2 linked regions of the Ovis aries genome follow. The protein of the gene in region 2 purifies or fractionates together with the protein of the main gene of each other region. This does not show direct contact. Links are inferred from orthologs where the notes say so. Each region holds a gene or a part of one and is shown on either strand. Other genes may lie near its edges.

Region 1 (3,748 bases), on a different chromosome or scaffold from region 2:
ATCTGTGGGATGGGGAATCCATTACACTCTGACAGGCAAATGGAGTGACCCACACCTGTCAGCCCGAACATCTAGCTGAGAGTGGCTGGGCCAGTCACCCAGCGGCACATGGACCTCACATTCTCCCCATAAAGGCATCTAGTATCAGCTCAGCCTGGGGAGGAGGGAGCTTCCACAGTAAAGACAAACGGTAGGCCTCAGTCCAACCAATGTATCCCCAAAGTAAGGCCACTGGCCACAGCCACTCACCTCTTGCTGAATTCGGTCCTGCTGAGCCATGATGGCTTCATCATAAGCAAGACAGTTAACACCTGGAAAAAGGAAGAAGGCCAAGTATTACAGTGGGCCCTGGCTCTCCCCACTCCAGGAAGCTGGGCCGAGGACAAGAACGGGCCAGGAGAGCAGACGTGCAATCTGGAAGCATGCATCATGCCCTGCTCCACCCCAACTGTGGGATCTTGGCAAAGTCCTTCCATTTCCTGGGCATGAGTTATCTCATCTTTAAAGGGAGGAGGCCAGGGACTTCCCTGGAGGTCCAGTGGCTAAGGCTCCGAGCTCCCAATGCAAGGGGGCCTGGGTGTTAGGTAAAAGACGACCAGGACACCAAAAGAGTGTCTAACAGGCTTTAATGGCGAAGCGCTCCCGGGCGGGGTTCCCGGACCCGCCCAGAACGTGTTAGAAGTTTGTTTATATATGCACGCTGCGAGGGATGGCCAGGTTAGTGGATGGGGGTTTGGATAGGTTGCCGGGCCGAGGCGTCACGGGCTGATACGTCCTTCTACGTGGCGGAGGTGGGGCAGCTTTAGCTGGCAAACTGTGCTGTCACTGGTCCCCGGGATCTGGGAGGCCCCTTCCTTAGGGACTTCCCCCGCCGACGGGGGAGGGAAGGGGCGGCCCATCATGGCCCCCCGGGGTCCGATCTTACACTGAGTTTGATCCTTGGTCTGGGAACTAGATCCCACATGCCATAACTGAGACCTGGCACAGCCAAATAAGTATAAATAAATGGTGGAAAATAAAGTAAGCAGGCCAAGGTGATCGCCCCCCAGGGTACACTCTTCCAGCTCGAACAAGCCCTCTCCCCCTGCTCTCTAACATCACTTCCGAGCAGCCCGGAAGGCCCCTGAGCCAGGTCTATTGAGGAAAGACAGATGAGGAAGCAGACCATCTTCGGCTAGATGAGCGCTTTGCTTTCCTCAGTCACACCATTCCTCCACCTGCCATCCTGGGTATTCGTAGTGGTGCCCATTTTACAAAGAACAAAAACGCAGACAGGTGAAATCACCTGCCCGAAGTCGCGACGAGGAAGACCTGTGGTCAATCCCAGGTTTGTCTAATTGCAAAGCCTGGGCTCTTTGCCACAATAACTCCCCTGGCACCTCACTGCAGAGGCTCATCATCAGCTGTGAATAGAGACAGATAGCACCACCTTCCTCCCTTCACTGTGATGCCCTGAGGAGATGGTACCTTAAGAGGTGTAGTTCAATACTCATCACTGAGTTGGGCGGGTCCACCCTGTGGGCCCCATGCCAAGCAGCCACTGGTGAGGAGCCAGGAGACCTGAATCCTGGCTCTGGTTCTTTCTTAACTTACACGATCCTAAACCAGTCCCTTCGGGGATTGGGGGGAGGGTCTAGGTCCCCAAAAGCTGTTTTTCAGTGTGCGGTTAGAGAGGGAGCTGTGTGCTAAATGACTTTTAAGGCCAATCCTTTTGATCTTGAGCAGGCCGGGGCCTCAGCTGGGCTTCCACCCACCCCCGACACTGCACTGCAACTGGGCCATCCCTCCCAACCCTAGTGACCTCCTCAGTCCCCAGTGTCTAACTCAGGGGTGAAAAGAAGAGGGTGGGACCGTTTTGAGAGGTCCAACTCTTCAGGGGTCTAAGGAAACTATGCCGAGACAGGAAGCAAGGGGCTGCGAGGCTAGGAGAGGGGACTCTACCGGAAACGAAGGGCGCTGCCCTCCTGGGCACACACCTACGGCCGCTCACAACCCCGGGCGGCCCGCAGCATCCCCAGCGGCCCGCCCAGTCCTTTGTGCTCCGCAGCCCGGCGTAATTCGACGCCCTCCCGGGCTCGGGCCGCTCTGGAGGAGGCGGACTAGACGGGGCCGGACTAGGCCCGGGCCTGACTGCCAGGTCCGGGGCGGGAGAGCCGGGACCCGGGAGCCGGACGCCCAGCGGGGAGGGGGCTGGGCGGGGGGTGGAGGGGCGGAGCGGCCTAGGCCCCGCCCCAGGAGCGCGCGACAGGGAAGAGTCGCGGGCCGGAGGCCGGCCCGCTTTCTCTCCCGCCGCCCGGCCGGCCAGGGGTCGCGGCGGCGGCTCCTTCCATTGTGAGGGGGAGGGGAGGCGGCGGACGCGGGGGAAGGGGCCCTCCGCTCGCTTCGCCGCCAGCCGCCCCAGCCCTGGTTTCCTCGGGAACCGGCCATCCGGCATCGCCCCCGCTAGCCCAGGCCGGGCGGCTCTCCCCTGGTCGGTACCTTCGGAGTCGCTGCCAAGCGGCTCCTGCTTCTGCTGCTGAGGTTCCTCCGCCGCCATCTTTAAACAGCGCCGCACTGCCGACCGCTTCCGGGTTACTAGTCGGCCTCCCCCCGGAAGACAGCCCCTCCTCGAGGCCCCTCCTTGGTAACGCCCCTAGCAACGGGATCCCCTCGGGCGTAGTCACCCGAGGGGCTCGCAGTCTCGTTCGGCGGCGGCGGAAGCCGGGGAAGTGAGGGCAATCCCCGCCCGCCCTCCTCCCGCACACTTGCTCGGTTCCATCTTTCCAGGCTCCCAATGTGCCAGGTGGTGATAAGAGCTTCCTGGGGCCACTTGAGTTTTCTTTTCACTAGAGTTTGAAACGCGGATTGTATTATTGAGATAAGCAGGAAAATGAAATTCAAATCACGGAAGGCAATTCCCGCTGCGGGCTCCAGAACTCAAGACAGGCGAATGCAATGAGGATCACTTGGCCGAGGAGACCGGGAATTCTGCTAATATCCGAGCTCTGGGAATTCACCGCCCCCCTCCACCGAGTCTCGGTTCCGAGCGGGCTTTGGTGTCCTGCTTCTGACCGAGAGACCACGTCCCTCGGGGTCGACCTTACTTTGGACTACCTGCCCTTGTGGTTATGAGAAAATCAGGATTTTTTTTTTTTTTAAGATAGAAGTTGACAACAATGAAAAACAGATTCGTGGTTCCCAAGGGTTGAGTCGGAGTAAGGAGGGAAGTGGATGTGGTTATAAAAATGAAACAGAAGTATCCTTGTGGAGACAGAAGTGCTCTTTATCTTGAATATATATGGAGATCCTGGAATATGCTGTACTGTAGCTTCAAACGCAAGATGTTACCAGTGGGGGAAAGTGGGTAAAGGATACCCAGGATCTTTCTGTGTACTCTGTTAAAATCACCTGTGAATTATCTAAAAATAAAACTTAAAAAGTGTCAAGGCCTTGGATGCTGAAGATGCAGTTATTTAGAGAAGTCACCTTCAGGGGTACTGTTCCTTTGCCTTTCTCTATGGAGGGCCTTTTCCATGATATGACAGTGGTCTCTTAGCACTTGAGGAGGCCGTGTCTGAGCCCCAATCAGATCCCTCCGTTCATGATAATACAGGTGCAGAATAGGATGAATATCTTCATGAGCTACATCCAGTTCTGGAGTAGGGACGGTTGGTGCCTGGGCTCACCACACTGCCCACAGTGGCGCTCTCACAGCAACGCTACACATGCCAAGTCTTTGCCCCAGCAACATGGCAAATTACTATTTCCT
Region 2 (3,648 bases):
ATGTACACATGGGGTTTTATTATCCTCATTCAATAATCAGGAAACTGGAGCTCAAGAGGTTGGCTGACTCCCCCAAAGTCAGAAAACTGAGAAGTAGAAGGAACCAGCACCCAGCCCCCAGACTTTCCCTGTTACTCCCTGACTTCTAACACCCCAAGCTACCTTATCACCATCTGCACACTCGGGGGTTTTATTTTCCTTTAATGAAACAAAGATAACAGTAAAATAAATAATTAGAGCTTTAAAAAAAATCATGATTAACTCCCTACAAATGACTAAACATATTTTCTTGCAAGTAAATTTTAATGCATTAAATACTGCTTTCAAATCAGTCAGTATCAACTAGGAACTCAAGACACAATTGTAATAGATGTGTTATGGTAGGATTTGACCTGTAATCTCACATTAAAATATTGTTTTCTATTTCTGACATTTTCCAATGTGATTTTCATCAGTTGAGCCACTTGGGTAAAATTTTACTGTATTTGAGAAAATCTTCACTTTCATAAGTCCATAAACTCAAATATATTGCCTGTAGCAAGATCACAAATGGAAATATGCAGACAACACTAGCTTCACCAACTCACAGATCAAACACTGGGCTATTTAAAATTAAACAGTGCTTCAGTTCCCAAAGGTACATAATTAAATTAAAGGCCTAAGAATATTAACTCCTTTTATCAGTGTTTTATCGGGAGAGAAATAGCAAATATATAAAGAAAAGGAATTGTCAAAGAAAAATTTGGGTCACCTGAAAAATATGTCTGGAAACTACAGAAGGGATTTAAAAATAATTTAACAATTTCATGATGAATAACAAACTTACCTCAAGTTGACCCCCCCATGCTGCTGTGTTTACAATATCATCACAATACTTTCCAAACTCTTCTGTAGGAAACAGATCAGAATATAGCACTTTTTAGAATTCATATTAGATCCCTTTTATAATTCCCACAATGCCTGATGAAACTGCCCAAGTTACGAACTTCCTCTTTCTCCACATATATCCTCCAGAATTTAATCCATTTCCCAAATCCAAACTTAACTCACTCCATCTTTCCATCCAAGAGCAAAGCAATTCATCTGTTTCTCTCTCTCAACCTGAAGTCTAGCAATCTCAACTAAATTATAAGCCTACCTCTCTCTTGATCCAAGCACTGACCCCAAAATTGCCACCACATTCACATTGCAAAATCCAAATCTGCATCTGAAAGAATATGCTACAAGATTAAAAGATGCATCCTCTGTAAAACAGGCTTCACTATAAAACCCTATAAGAAATGTGAGAAGAAAATCAAAGTACAAATGAGTTGAAACTCCTTTCCCAGTGACCATTTGATGACAGTGACATCAAACAGTGCCTACATATTTTGGAAATGTTTACTTTATTGTTCTAGCCAAAAAACAGTCTTCCTGTATCAGTCTTAAGAGGAGGTAAAAGACCTAACTTCAGAGTTAGGCATATCTTAAGCATACACACTGCTGTTATACAGAAAGTTAAAGTCAGGAAAAAACACTAACACCGTTGGTGTTTAGAGGAAGAGGAAAAAAATTATGGGCATCTAGGAGAAAACACGTTCCATATGCCCGTCTTATTCACTGTCTCACATCCCCAGTGATGAGAACAGTGCATCAGCATGCTGCGGCCCTCAATAAACACTGACTGAAGGACTGGGGATTACAGCTTTTGTCTTTTTCTTTGATTCACCAAGCTGAGGTATCACCTCCTCTCCCATGCGCTACAACTAGCACAGCTGGGGACTTCATTAAACAAAAGCCAACCCTAGCCTTCCCCTCTTCAATCCACCCTGACCATATGACTTACTCTCAGGGGATACTGCCACGTCTGCTGTCTTATCTCAAAGACTAACTTTCTCCCTTACTCCCCTTTTGCTTTCAGAAACTTTTTCAAGTTTTTACTCGTTTCCTCCTTTATTTGCTAGTTGTACATATTTTTTTTTAACCTTCTCAACTATCAAAGATATTATACAGACTAATAAGGCAGGTTTTGCAGTCATATTCTGCCTGAATATTATGACTTATTAAGAATAAAATTAAATCTTCCAAAGTACAGGATAAAAGGAAGAATTAGTTTTCCTAACCATTCTCTACTGATCGTCTTCAGATTCAATACTTGCAGAGACTAGGCAAAGCTTAACTTTGTGAAATATGAACTTATTTACACACTTTTAAAACTAGTAATATAAACCCTATTCCTATTTTTATCTTAAGATTAATATTTTCAACTACAAAATAGTTAAGTACTTAAAAAGATCTTGATAAACAAAAATGTGCTATCATCTACCAAAGTCATAGAAAATAATTTTGCCTAAATGTTGAGATGTTTTCCCCCCATAGGACTATTCAGGCTTTCTTTTTTTTTTTTTCATTCTCAGTTCCAGAAACCACTTTACTTAATAACCATCACAGCTACAACAGCAACAAGACGTAGCAGAGAAAAATAAATTACCTGGAGTATACATTTCTCCTGTATTAGGATTTGTTAAAAATGGCAGAAAGTCTTCCACATGACTCTGCATATAGTTAGCAGTCTGACACCTTAAGGCAGCCACAGTCAGAACGCCGTTCTGCTCTTGCAGCTGATCTTCAATGGCTCTATACATACAGTGCCCATCAGATGGAATCTGTTTAATTTCCAATTGTCTAGCTGCCAATATTTGAGCAAGTTTTTCACTTTCTACATGTCTAGCTCCAGTTAAGTTTTCAATTTCAGCTTCGGCTATCCTTTCTTCCCGCTCCTTTTCCAATGCAGCCTTTTTGTCCTATGCAGAAGGTAAAATGTAGGAAAGTTAATTCCTAATAATTAAGACTCATTTACATTTATCATGGGGACAGAAATATAAGATTCTCAAAAACATTTTTCTCCCTTCTCCCACAAGCACTATCAGATAGATGATCTCATCACCTGTAGAATTTTCTATACTGTGAACTCTTCTAAAGGCAAACAATATTTCTCATCTGTGTGTACCCAGCATGGAGCTGTCTTGGAACAAAAGAAGGCTCTCAAATTTTTCTGTGAAGTCTGTCTGAAACTATACGCCAAGTTTCTAAAAACTTGACTTACTGATTTCAAAGTACTATGGTAGACTGAGCTGTCCTAGGCCTTAAAGTAATATCATTATCATACTTAAGTCCAAGCTTTATAACTTATTACTCTACCAGTGAGGTCTTAATGTGCTAGATCACCAGTTCATGAGCAAGGCATTAATTTGCTTAGGTCTTTAGAATGGTATAGCAGCTCTATTTATCCGGCATTAAAAAAAAAAAAATTGTGCACATACACACATTTAGCTTAAGTAACAGATAAAAGCATTCTTCTCTATTAAAAAAACTATTACAGATAATCTAAAGTCCCCCTTAAGGACCACTGCCAATCTCTCAGCCTGCTCTAGAGATCTGATATGTATCCCTCTAGATTTTTTTCCTATGCATTTTAATAAATACAGATGTATTCATAGAAAATCTACAGAAAACAGTATTTTAACAAAAGTACTATCATCCATTACATTCTTCAACTTGCTTTCCTTCTATTCAAATTTCCTAAGAAATCTTCCCATACCAACATATGCAAAGATGGGATGAGGAGAAGGTAATGAGAGATTTATGACATGAAGGATGGATAGGAAG

The links. Proteins that work in one complex are often made in the same cells at the same time.
Region 1: the proteins of OTUD6B (region 2) and OTUB1 fractionate together in Homo sapiens (co-fractionation; 4 studies listed by BioGRID and IntAct, with this or other methods). This does not show direct contact. The link is inferred for Ovis aries from reciprocal best matches to the Homo sapiens genes OTUD6B and OTUB1.

What each region holds. Positions count from the first base shown.
Region 1 is NC_056074.1:38,767,247-38,770,994, reverse strand, and holds the start of OTUB1 (ubiquitin thioesterase OTUB1), read right to left. Parts: upstream 2,558-3,748; 5' UTR 2,537-2,557; coding exon 2,479-2,536; intron 312-2,478; coding exon 250-311; intron 3-249; coding exon 1-2. UniProt on the Homo sapiens protein: Hydrolase that can specifically remove 'Lys-48'-linked conjugated ubiquitin from proteins and plays an important regulatory role at the level of protein turnover by preventing degradation.
Region 2 is NC_056062.1:86,240,308-86,243,955, forward strand, and holds part of OTUD6B (deubiquitinase OTUD6B), read right to left. Parts: intron 2,784-3,648; coding exon 2,471-2,783; intron 889-2,470; coding exon 827-888; intron 1-826.